2 linked regions of the Arabidopsis thaliana genome follow. The protein of the gene in region 1 purifies or fractionates together with the protein of each later gene. This does not show direct contact. Each region holds a gene or a part of one and is shown in the gene's direction. Other genes may lie near its edges.

Evidence for each region.
Region 2: the proteins of NSN1 (region 1) and AT1G25260 fractionate together in Arabidopsis thaliana (co-fractionation; one large-scale study listed by BioGRID). This does not show direct contact.

What each region holds. Positions count from the first base shown.
Region 1 is NC_003074.8:2,228,842-2,234,597, reverse strand, and holds NSN1 (GTP-binding family protein), read left to right. Parts: upstream 1-2,236; 5' UTR 2,237-2,318; coding exon 2,319-2,337; intron 2,338-2,460; coding exon 2,461-2,705; intron 2,706-2,929; coding exon 2,930-3,023; intron 3,024-3,105; coding exon 3,106-3,279; intron 3,280-3,377; coding exon 3,378-3,592; intron 3,593-3,686; coding exon 3,687-3,951; intron 3,952-4,063; coding exon 4,064-4,243; intron 4,244-4,344; coding exon 4,345-4,556; intron 4,557-4,651; coding exon 4,652-4,996; 3' UTR 4,997-5,243; downstream 5,244-5,756. Other genes in the region: emb1974 (NHL domain-containing protein), read right to left, coding at 89-189, 344-484, 684-777, 898-1,036, 1,124-1,271, 1,364-1,476, 1,558-1,678, 1,778-1,838; RPM1 (NB-ARC domain-containing disease resistance protein), read left to right, coding at 5,574-5,756. UniProt on the Arabidopsis thaliana protein: Involved in the differentiation of epidermal cells, probably via the regulation of the expression of meristem-related genes (e.g. CLV3, STM, KNAT1, CUC2 and AG) and of leaf polarity-related genes (e.g. YAB5, FIL, AS2, PHB and PHV).
Region 2 is NC_003070.9:8,852,869-8,857,734, reverse strand, and holds AT1G25260 (Ribosomal protein L10 family protein), read left to right. Parts: upstream 1-1,860; 5' UTR 1,861-1,968; coding exon 1,969-1,996; intron 1,997-2,248; coding exon 2,249-2,414; intron 2,415-2,492; coding exon 2,493-2,583; intron 2,584-2,676; coding exon 2,677-2,735; intron 2,736-2,870; coding exon 2,871-2,931; intron 2,932-3,088; coding exon 3,089-3,179; intron 3,180-3,279; coding exon 3,280-3,356; intron 3,357-3,437; coding exon 3,438-3,572; 3' UTR 3,573-4,201; downstream 4,202-4,866. Other genes in the region: UMAMIT24 (nodulin MtN21 /EamA-like transporter family protein), read right to left, coding at 1-9.

The sequences.
Region 1 (5,756 bases):
TTTCTCTCTACGAATGCCCTTCTAAGGGATTTCAGAAAAGAAAGTCAATAAAGATTATAATTCCCCAAATGTGATTCAGTTCACTTACACTGTCTACAATCTTCCCACTGTTTTCGAAAATAATAATACGATGATGGTTGGTATCAGAAAGAAACAGACGGTCTCCAACTTCGTCTGCAGAGATACAACCTGTCACAGAGAATGTCAATTGTTAAATAAAAAAACAAAATTTTATTCCAAATTTTTGTGAGCAAAATATTAGAGAGTAGCGTGAAAGACAAAAATGAAAATTCCTGATAAATTTCAAAAAGACCAAAAAAGAAAGAAAATTAAAGAGACATACCTGGAAAGTAAAGTAACAAATCCTGAAAGAAAGAAGGGAAATGTGATTCCTTGATAGCCTCTGCTTGTTTTGACCAAGTGTTCGTGAAAAGTCTGACAGACTTGGATTTCTCAGTATCTTGAGTGAGGAGGCTGTCAAGAGCTGCAGCAAAGCGCAAGAAAAAGAAACCAGAATATGTATTAAGCACACAAATCACGAGATAGAAGGCTGAAGCGACGAATATTCACAAGCTAAAAGTAGCATAATGAATTTCTGTTTTCTCTTAAGTTGAACATGGAACAATAAGTATGACATTGTAGAGACTATTTGTAGTGAATATATGATAATAAAGTAGGCATACCTTTAACTACAGAAGCAATATCAAGATCCTTCTCTTCGTAGATTAGAGGATTCTTAAAATCTTTAAACACGATGTAACGTACTTCCCCACTTGTCTGATACAAGTAGAAAACAGCACACCTTCAATTGAAATCGAGGTATATGCACATAACATGAGGGAATGATATACAAAGAAGTAATCTACAGCGACATTTCTTGGACATAACAATATATACCTTGGGAAATTCTTTTTCGGAAAGTAGCACAGGAAAAGTGAGGTATTCCTTCAAAATCAACTCAGCTAGAGCAGTTCGATCATCAGCGATTCGAGCTTGATCACTGAAGTGGATGCCCATGAAACAGACACCCGGAGACCTGAAAAGTCAAAACAAATACTTAGCCGTAATTGCCGTTAAGTTACCATTATTCTTTGGTTTAACAAAAATAAAAGCTTTCTTAAACCTCTGCTGAAGCAACTTTAGTTTCTCAAAGAAACCACTCAGATCACTTGTTCCGTCTAGCAAATGTCCAGCTAGAACTACATAAGTTCCTTTGTCCTTGAAAAGCTGTTTATTCCCAAAGTCTCGATTCAACCAATGATGGGAAGGACCTAAGAGTTCATTTTCAAAACGTTGTTTACAACACAAAGAGATGTTTCAAGCCAATACAAAAAGATGTAAGAATCAGTATACAGTCAGTTACCTTCAAGTTTATCAAGTGAAGCTTTAATAAAAGAGAGCAAATCAACATGTGGAGAGGAAGGAGAAGAAGAAGAAGAAGAAGAAGCTCGAGATACTCGTCGTACTGATGCAAATCTGAAAGAGACTGTCCAGGACGAATTAGAAAGAGACCATGAAAACACCTGTCCAAGTAATTAAGATTATAAATCGAATTACCCGCGAGAGAAACGTTGTTCGACCAATGTCTTGGATCCAATGTTCATGTCTCCATCGAGTGAAGGAGCTAAACAAGTGGCTGGAGTAGTGATTGATCGGCGAAATCGACCGTGAACATTGTCTAGTGAGCAAAACGACAACCAAAAAAGATCGTTAAGAACGCTTAAACAGTGGGAACCCAGAAAGCTAGAATCGAAGAAGACGATCAAAATTCGGAAACCTGAGAGAATCCGAGAAGAAAGCCATGATATTTTCTTCAAATGGAGGCTTCTGTTAGACATTTCTGTATGGTGGGCTTCACTTGTTTGTCCTAAGCTAAACGAATTTCAGGTTTTGGAAGGGTTTAACCGCCAGCACCGGAGCCCGGCGGGATCTTAAGGGAAAAAAACTCAAGACTTTCAGGTGACTGGTCCAAGTCAAGGTTATTATGACTTTGGATAACGAATGTCAATTGAAGTTAATTACATAATCAGTAAAGATTACTAACATCGGGGTGGTGGCGCAGTTGGCTAGCGCGTAGGTCTCATAGCTATCTGAGTAATCCTGAGGTCGAGAGTTCGAGCCTCTCTCACCCCAATTATTTTTTCAATATTTTTAAGTTGATTCGGGTCAACTATAACGGGTCGGGTAATGATCCAAGTACATCTAATAGCAAAACCCTAATTTGGCGCCGATATGTCCATCTTCCTTCTCCATAAACCCTTTTCTTTTAACCTACTCAGTTTTTCTGTTTGCGTCGCTCTCATCCCAGGGCGAGAAAGATGGTGAAACGGAGTAAAAGTAAGATACATCCTTCAATCATATTGATATTCTGGATCTGTCTTATTGAATGAATTTGAATCATATCATTCAGTTCAGGATTCCTACTGGGGTTTTATTGATTGGTTTGATGGTTTTTTGCAGAGAGTAAGAGTAAGAGGGTGACCTTGAAGCAGAAGCATAAGGTCCTGAAAAAGGTGAAGGAGCACCACAAGAAGAAGGCAAAGGATGCTAAAAAGCTTGGCCTTCACCGTAAGCCAAGAGTAGAGAAAGACCCAGGTATACCCAATGACTGGCCTTTCAAGGAACAAGAGCTTAAAGCCCTTGAAGTTCGACGTGCCCGTGCTCTTGAGGAGATTGAACAGAAGAAAGAAGCTCGCAAAGAAAGGGTAATCTCATTCTTTTAACATTGTAACTCACAGCTATGATACATGTTCAGATATTTAGTAATCATATAACTTTAAGTTCAGGTCGAAATTCTTAAAGCTATTTCCTTTGTGTTCTGAGTTTTGATTGATTGATAAAAGATTGCATTTTTCATGTCTTGCTGTTTGATTTACTCGTATTTTGGAGTGGTGCTTGTGTTCTGATCTCTCCTAATAAATCTATTCAGGCCAAAAAGAGGAAACTTGGTTTGGTTGATGATGAGGATACCAAGACAGAAGGAGAGACCATAGAGGACTTACCTAAAGTTGTCAATGTTCGAGGTGAGTTGTTTTGGATACCTTCTTCACGCGTTTATGTGCTTTCTCTCTGCCTTTACATGCACTAATGTCTTTTGTTTCACAGATAACTCGGAGAGGGCTTTCTACAAGGAGCTAGTTAAAGTCATTGAATTGTCTGATGTCATTTTGGAGGTTCTTGATGCCCGTGATCCTCTTGGCACTCGTTGTACTGACATGGAGAGGATGGTGATGCAAGCCGGTCCCAATAAGCATCTTGTGTTGCTGCTGAACAAGATTGGTAAGTTCATATATTCAGTCTTTACTCGTGGACGTAATAAGTTGTTTGTTTACTCTGGGTGGTGTAATTAATTTTTGTAACTGATTCACTCTCTCCAGATCTTGTTCCCCGAGAGGCTGCTGAGAAATGGCTTATGTACCTTAGGGAAGAATTTCCAGCTGTTGCCTTCAAGTGTAGCACCCAGGAACAGAGATCAAACTTGGGTTGGAAATCATCTAAGGCATCAAAACCAAGCAATATGTTGCAGACGAGTGATTGTCTTGGAGCAGACACTCTTATCAAATTGTTGAAGAACTACTCAAGAAGTCATGAGGTTGGTTCCATAGTTTAAACTTTAATCATCCTACCTTAGCATCAAGTTATATCATTCAGTTTCAATTAAATCTTCCTTTGTTGTTCTTTGGCAGTTAAAAAAATCTATCACAGTTGGTATTATTGGACTGCCTAATGTCGGCAAGAGTAGTCTTATTAACAGTCTGAAGAGAGCGCATGTTGTCAATGTTGGTGCCACTCCTGGACTGACTAGATCTCTGCAAGAGGTTCACTTGGACAAAAACGTGAAGTTGCTGGATTGTCCTGGAGTTGTGATGTTGAAATCATCAGGAAATGATGCTTCCATAGCTCTCCGAAATTGTAAAAGAATCGAGAAGTTGGATGACCCAGTTAGTCCAGGTAATTGGATATAAGCTCAAGATAGAATCACACTTATTTTTGTGCTTTGTCTTTTAAAGGTTATAATCTGAGTGACCTAACTTGGAAATCTTCTGCTTTGTGAAAAAAATAGTGAAGGAAATTCTCAAGCTTTGTCCTAAAGATATGCTGGTGACTCTCTACAAAATCCCGAGCTTCGAGGCAGTTGATGATTTCCTTTACAAAGTCGCCACTGTAAGGGGTAAACTTAAAAAGGGTGGTCTTGTGGATATTGATGCTGCTGCCAGAATTGTTTTGCATGACTGGAATGAAGGTGCGGATCTTTTTTTGTTCCTCGTAAACTTGAAGCGTAAAAGCATTTTTGAAAACCAGTTTCTTAACTCATCATTGTCTCTAATATGAATGGTTATGCAGGTAAAATCCCATACTATACAATGCCGCCAAAGAGGGACCAGGGTGGACATGCAGAGTCAAAGATTGTGACTGAGCTGGCCAAGGATTTCAACATCGATGAGGTTTACAGTGGTGAATCCTCTTTCATTGGGAGCTTGAAGACGGTTAACGAATTCAACCCTGTTATTATTCCTTCAAATGGTCCTCTCAATTTCGATGAAACTATGATCGAGGTTGGTAACTTCTCTCGTGATTCCATTTGCTTGTAAATGACTCGGTCTGGATTTAATCTTTGTTTATGATGATGTATCACAAAAAAAAAAAACAGGATGAGTCTAAGACGCAGACGGAAGAGGAGGCTGAGCATGAGAGTGATGATGATGAGTCAATGGGAGGGGAGGAGGAGGAAGAGGCAGGAAAGACGAAGGAGAAATCAGAGACGGGGAGGCAGAACGTGAAGCTATACGCAGCGGAAAGCATGTTGAATACAAAGAAACAGAAAGCAGAGAAGAAGAAGAGGAAGAAAGCAAAGAAAGCAGGAGCTGATGAGGAGGATCTGATGGACGGAGATTATGATTTCAAAGTGGATTATAGGAAGAACAAAGATGGAGAAGACGAAGAATTCCAGATTGATGCTAAAATCCCAATGGCTGGACTTTTGCCTGAAGAATGAGTGATTGGAAACCACAACGTTTTTTTTTTTTTTTTTTTTTGTATTTGGCGTTTATGAGTCGGTCGGTTAAACTTTCTGATATATGTGCTTCATGAACTAGTAGTAATACTGAAGCGATTTTGATTTCTTTAATTAACGTTTCTTCTATTCCAATTCTGCTTTGCTTAACAAATATCTTAAGAACATTCAAAAATCATTGAGGTAAGTGTACTTCTTCGCCCTTCAGAAGAAAGTAATAATCTTTTACCCTTTCAGTTTCAGGTAACGAATGACGAAAACAACACCCGAGTTCAGTACATCAGATTTCTCTGTCTCTCTCTTGGAACTTCCAAACTCGACCATATCCGTCAAATTGAATTCCAAGTTGCAAATGTGAAAGCAGTTTAAACCCGTGTTGACTTTAACGCAAGTAAAGGACGTTGACTTTGTTGAGGTCCTTAAGGATAATTGATCAAAATGTTATGTGGCAGGCATGTAAGGTGTGAACCGAAAGCTTGGCTTTGCTCAAATTCAGCAAGTTCACCAAGAGAAACTAAATCAGTGAAGGAAAAAAGGTTCAAGCGAGACTCTGAGGAAGATGGCTTCGGCTACTGTTGATTTTGGGATCGGACGGATTCTTAGTGTCCTGGAAAACGAGACCTTGTTATTGTCAGGAGTCCATGGTGAGATTGATAAAATGAAGAAGGAGTTGCTGATCATGAAGTCCTTTCTTGAGGATACTCATAAACATGGTGGAAATGGATCCACAACAACAACAACT
Region 2 (4,866 bases), on another chromosome or scaffold:
ACTCTTCATTTCTCCCCACATTTCTCTGATTTCGCCCCACAGTTTCTGATTTCTACTTTGATACCCACTCTAAGTCTCTAACTATTAACTATCCAATCCTGTTAGCTCATGATCAGCTCTATTTATGTAGCCAAGGTGTTTTCGTCTTTAATTCTACCTCTATACCTTTTTCATTGTGCTCCACTTCAATTGTATTAACTGTCCAATCCTCCTAGCTCATGATATAGGAAGATGTGAGATTCAAATATTTGTTTCTGGAAACTCGTTACTAAAGTAGCAAAGTTTGGAAGGATTAACCTTCTTGTAGACAAAAGAAAAGAAAAACAAAAGAGTTTATGTGTTGAAATGTATATTCATGATCAAAGGGAAAACAGAATACAAAGTGAAGACGTAATGCAAAAATAAGACGAAACTGTTTATTGTCGTTCTATGAAAGGAGCTCCACAAGCTTTCAAGAGCGTTTCACTGCAAAAGAATCTTTTTTTTTTGCAAAAGCATTTGTTATAACATGACAAGAAAACTATTATACATTTACATCGATGCCACACATTCTTATACGAACGGTAATGCGTTTTACTATATGAGCCAAAATGACAATGCAGAAACATGCTCGGTGCTATTAACATTTATTAAAACATAATTGTGAAGTTAAACAAGATATAAATAAAAGTAACATATTAGGTTGACGTTGACACGTGCTAAGCATGCTTTGTGGCTTTTCCGCGATGGCTTTGCCACACACAAGAACTCCAAAAGAAAGAAAAAGGCTCGTATATCATTATTGTCAGTAAGCAACATGCGTACGTAAAGCCAAATACACTTGGTAAAGATCCAAATGTGGAAGTTTTGGGCTTGGATTCTCTTTCCATTCTTCTGCTCTCTTTCATGTGACTTGCATAAAGATGATACGACCAAAAGTGAAAACCAAGTATCAATTCATACATACATATTATAAGAATGAGAAAGAAAAAAAGTTATATTCATACTGACCCAATTAAAATTTCACACACAAAAAAACCTCTAGAGAACGTTATGATACCCCAATTGAATGTCATATATTTTCCATCATTTTCTTTTATGCCATAGATCGAGCCACTATCAATACCACTAGCTATAACAATCTCGAGCGATTTTTGTGTGTTTTTTTAATTCCCCCGACGGAACTAATTCCACTCATCTCTTGATCTTTTCGCCATATAGCACGACATATATATAGCCCACATACAATCAATATTGCTCCTAGTAAAAATAAAAATAAATATATTGCTTCAAGTACACTTCAATTTGAAAACAATAATATAGTGTATGCTTATAAATATTATCAAATCTTAATAAATAAATTGTCTTTTACCTTCCCAAATAAACTTCTCGTCCAAGAACAAAACACAAGCCACGGCGACTACTACGAGCATGAGAAGGGTTGAGGACTTCTACAAATGAGTGGACCCATCCCCTTAGTCTCGAACAAATTGCCAGTAGTGAGATCACTACTCACTACTAATGGTTGTTCCTATTGTTCCCTATACGTTTACATTGTTTAATTTCCGAGCATTCATATAAATAATTTATAATTCATTATTAAGAGGTTTAATAATATGATTTTGAAAGTACCACTTTTTAATTAATTTTTATAACATTAAATTTAAAACTTTAATTTCTTAACTTAAAAACTTTTGCACAACAAAACAAAAAAAACTAAAAACACTATAATCCATTTAAATTTAAACTAGTACACCCTCCAATGACAAAAAAAAATCGGCCCAGATTTCTGATAGCTAAAAGGCCTGAAACGGGCCGGATCCGGATCGGGTTGAATTAGGGGTCCAGATTAAAAAGTGCGAATTAAAGCAAACAAGGGAACAAGGGTTTCAGTTTCCCTGAAGAAAATTGAAAGGAGCTTAATAAACAGAAGCCGTTCTCCTTCACTTTCGTTCCTCTCACTTCCATACAACATTTGAAACCTCAGCTATGCCTAAATCAAAGCGAGATAGACCAGGTTAGAACTCTTCTTCCTTCACTCTTTCTGCTCTCTATTGTCTGAACCATTGTATCTCTGTCACTGGTTTTGGAAGCTGTAACTTTTGTAGCCGCCGTCAAGGGTTTTAGGGTTTTGTTAGGTTTTTAGAGGAACCCTTTTGAAAAAAACTTTAACTTGTTGGAGTTAGTAATGTTTTTTCATAGCTTCTATGGTTGAATCGATTGATGAATGGTTTATCTAAGGGTTTTGTTTTCTGATTTTTTGCTGCAGTGACTTTGTCTAAGACGAAGAAGAAAGGAAGAGAGCATAAGGAGTGTATTGTGAATGGAATTAGGGAGGCTGTTGAAAAATATTCCTCTGTCTATGTTTTCTCTTTTGAAAACATGAGAAATATCAAATTCAAGGAGTTTAGGCAGCAGTTTAGGCACAATGGAAAGTTAGTTTCTTTGTCCTTCTTCTGGTTGATGTTAGAATTACTTGAATGTTATGACTGACTCGGTTCTTATTTGTCTAGGTTCTTCCTAGGTTCGAACAAAGTGATGCAGGTTGCTCTTGGTCGTTCTGCAGAAGATGAACTCCGTTCTGGTATCTACAAAGTCTCCAAGGTTTGTGTATTCTGCTTCTTACAATGGTTCTTTTATGTTAAATGGTCATTTTTTGTCAGTTAGATTTACATATGTTGTGGAATGTTGTTTCAGCTGCTTCGTGGTGATACTGGACTTCTTGTTACTGATATGCCAAAGGAAGAAGTCGAAAGGTATCTATCTATGTATCTCTTGACGTCCTCTTTTTTCCTCTTTTGCTTTGGTGAAACAACAGTGACGGGTTTGAATTGTATACATGTCTAGTTGTTGTAACTGTTCACAATACTTCTTCTGGTTGTGTATTGCAGCTTATTTAACGCTTATGAGGATTCCGACTTTTCAAGGACCGGAAGCATTGCAGTAGAAACGGTTTGTGAACAGAACTTGTGCCATCTCTATATACTGTTGTTTCTAGATAAATAAATAAGCTTGACTATGATCAGGCTCTGCTTCTCTTTGTTATTTAAAAAACTTTGTTTCGTTACTTTTATCTTAATTACTATATTGGTACCACCTAAATGATTAGGTTGAACTGAAGGAAGGTCCTCTAGAACAGTTCACACATGAGATGGAACCACTTCTTCGGAAGCTTGAAATGCCTGTACGACTAAACAAAGGTCTGTCGTCTCACCATCTTAATATTCCTCTTTCTCATACTCACTTTTGCTATCTATATTAATCCAAAAACTTATTTCTTCTTCTTATTTTAATATGTAGGTACTGTGGAGTTGGTCGCTGACTTTGTAGTTTGTGAAGAAGGAAAACAACTTTCGCCAAAATCAGCCCACATTTTGGTAATAAGACTTCTGTATACCAAAACCCTTTCCTTTTAATTTGTATGCTTTATTTCTTATACTTGTTTGTTTACTTTGCAGCGTCTATTGCGAATGAAGATGGCTACTTTCAAGCTGAACTTGCTCTGCAGATGGAGCCCTAGTGACTTTGAGCTTTACAGAGAAGATCTGTCAGAGCTTTACCGAGAAGATCTCTCAGACGTTGAAACCTCTTAGGAAGCCAAGATTTTGACTCCACCCTTTAAATTTTTCTTAATATCATCACTATCACATGGATTTTATATTGTGGCACATGGTTTGCATTCAAATGTTTTAAGTCAAAGTTTTGCTTGCTTTACATGTTTTGTAGAATATCAACTTATCTTCAAGAACCCCCTATCCTAATATTGGCAAATCAATCTTGAAAACCTTGTTTTTCTTATTCAGCCACATTATGGAATTTCTTACTCAATTTGCTTACTTTTTACAGATTTATAGATGGTGTTGGGACCGAATTAATTGGCATGCGTATGATAATTTAAAGCAAGTTTTTCTTCTTGTCTTTAAAATTATTGTGGTCCATGGGCTTGAGAGCAGTCCAACAACGTTCACACGTCGTCCATCTCTTTTGATAATTTCTTGTTTTTTGTTTTTTTGTTTGTTTTTTAGCAATCCGAAACTATTGCGTTTGACTAGGTGAGCTTAGAGTTGTGATGTTAGGGATAGAAGCAGTTTTCTACGAAAGGGGTTGAAGATACTATGAGGCGAATGCGGTTGAACAAAATAGAACCCACCGGAGATTTTGGTAAAAGATTAAACGGAAAGGCGATACTTCCAACTCCGACGTAACAAATGTTTAGTTGTAGATTTTCAACATTTTATGAATTTTGATAACATATTTTTTAATTAAATTTTGGTTAACATATTTTTGTTATAAAAAAAAAATATATACATAAACTACGGGTTCTCTCATTTTAAACAAGTATAAGTATACTATTATGTCTTAATATATTTCCTTAACATTACATATATATATATATATATATATATATAAAATCGAAAATACGATATTCTCTCATTTAAATATACTCAATCAAATATCAACTTTCTGTTTCTTGTTTTCTATCCGCAGATAATGCGGGATAAATTGTTTCCTAATTCATGTATGGGACTTTTATTGGATTTACGGAGTTTGCCTATACAAATTTAGGTAAGTTAGATTGGAAAAACAAGTTCCATATACTTTATCCTTAATTTTTTTGCTTATTTCTTCTTTCCTAATGAACAAAAAGATTTTGTTAAAAAAAAAAATGTAAATCAAGGAGATCACGTATTGAGGTGAGATGAGAAAGAGAGAGTGTGTGGCTTTAAAGAAGGAATAGGATGGAGTAAGAAAAGTGAAAAAGGAGAGAAGGAAGGAAATCATGGAAGTGAGTGAAGAGTCAGGTGAGAGAGACTGAAGCCTGACTCCTAACCACCATTTCAATCTTTTTGGCACTGAAATTCATGTCGTTCCTTTTCCTGTAAAGGA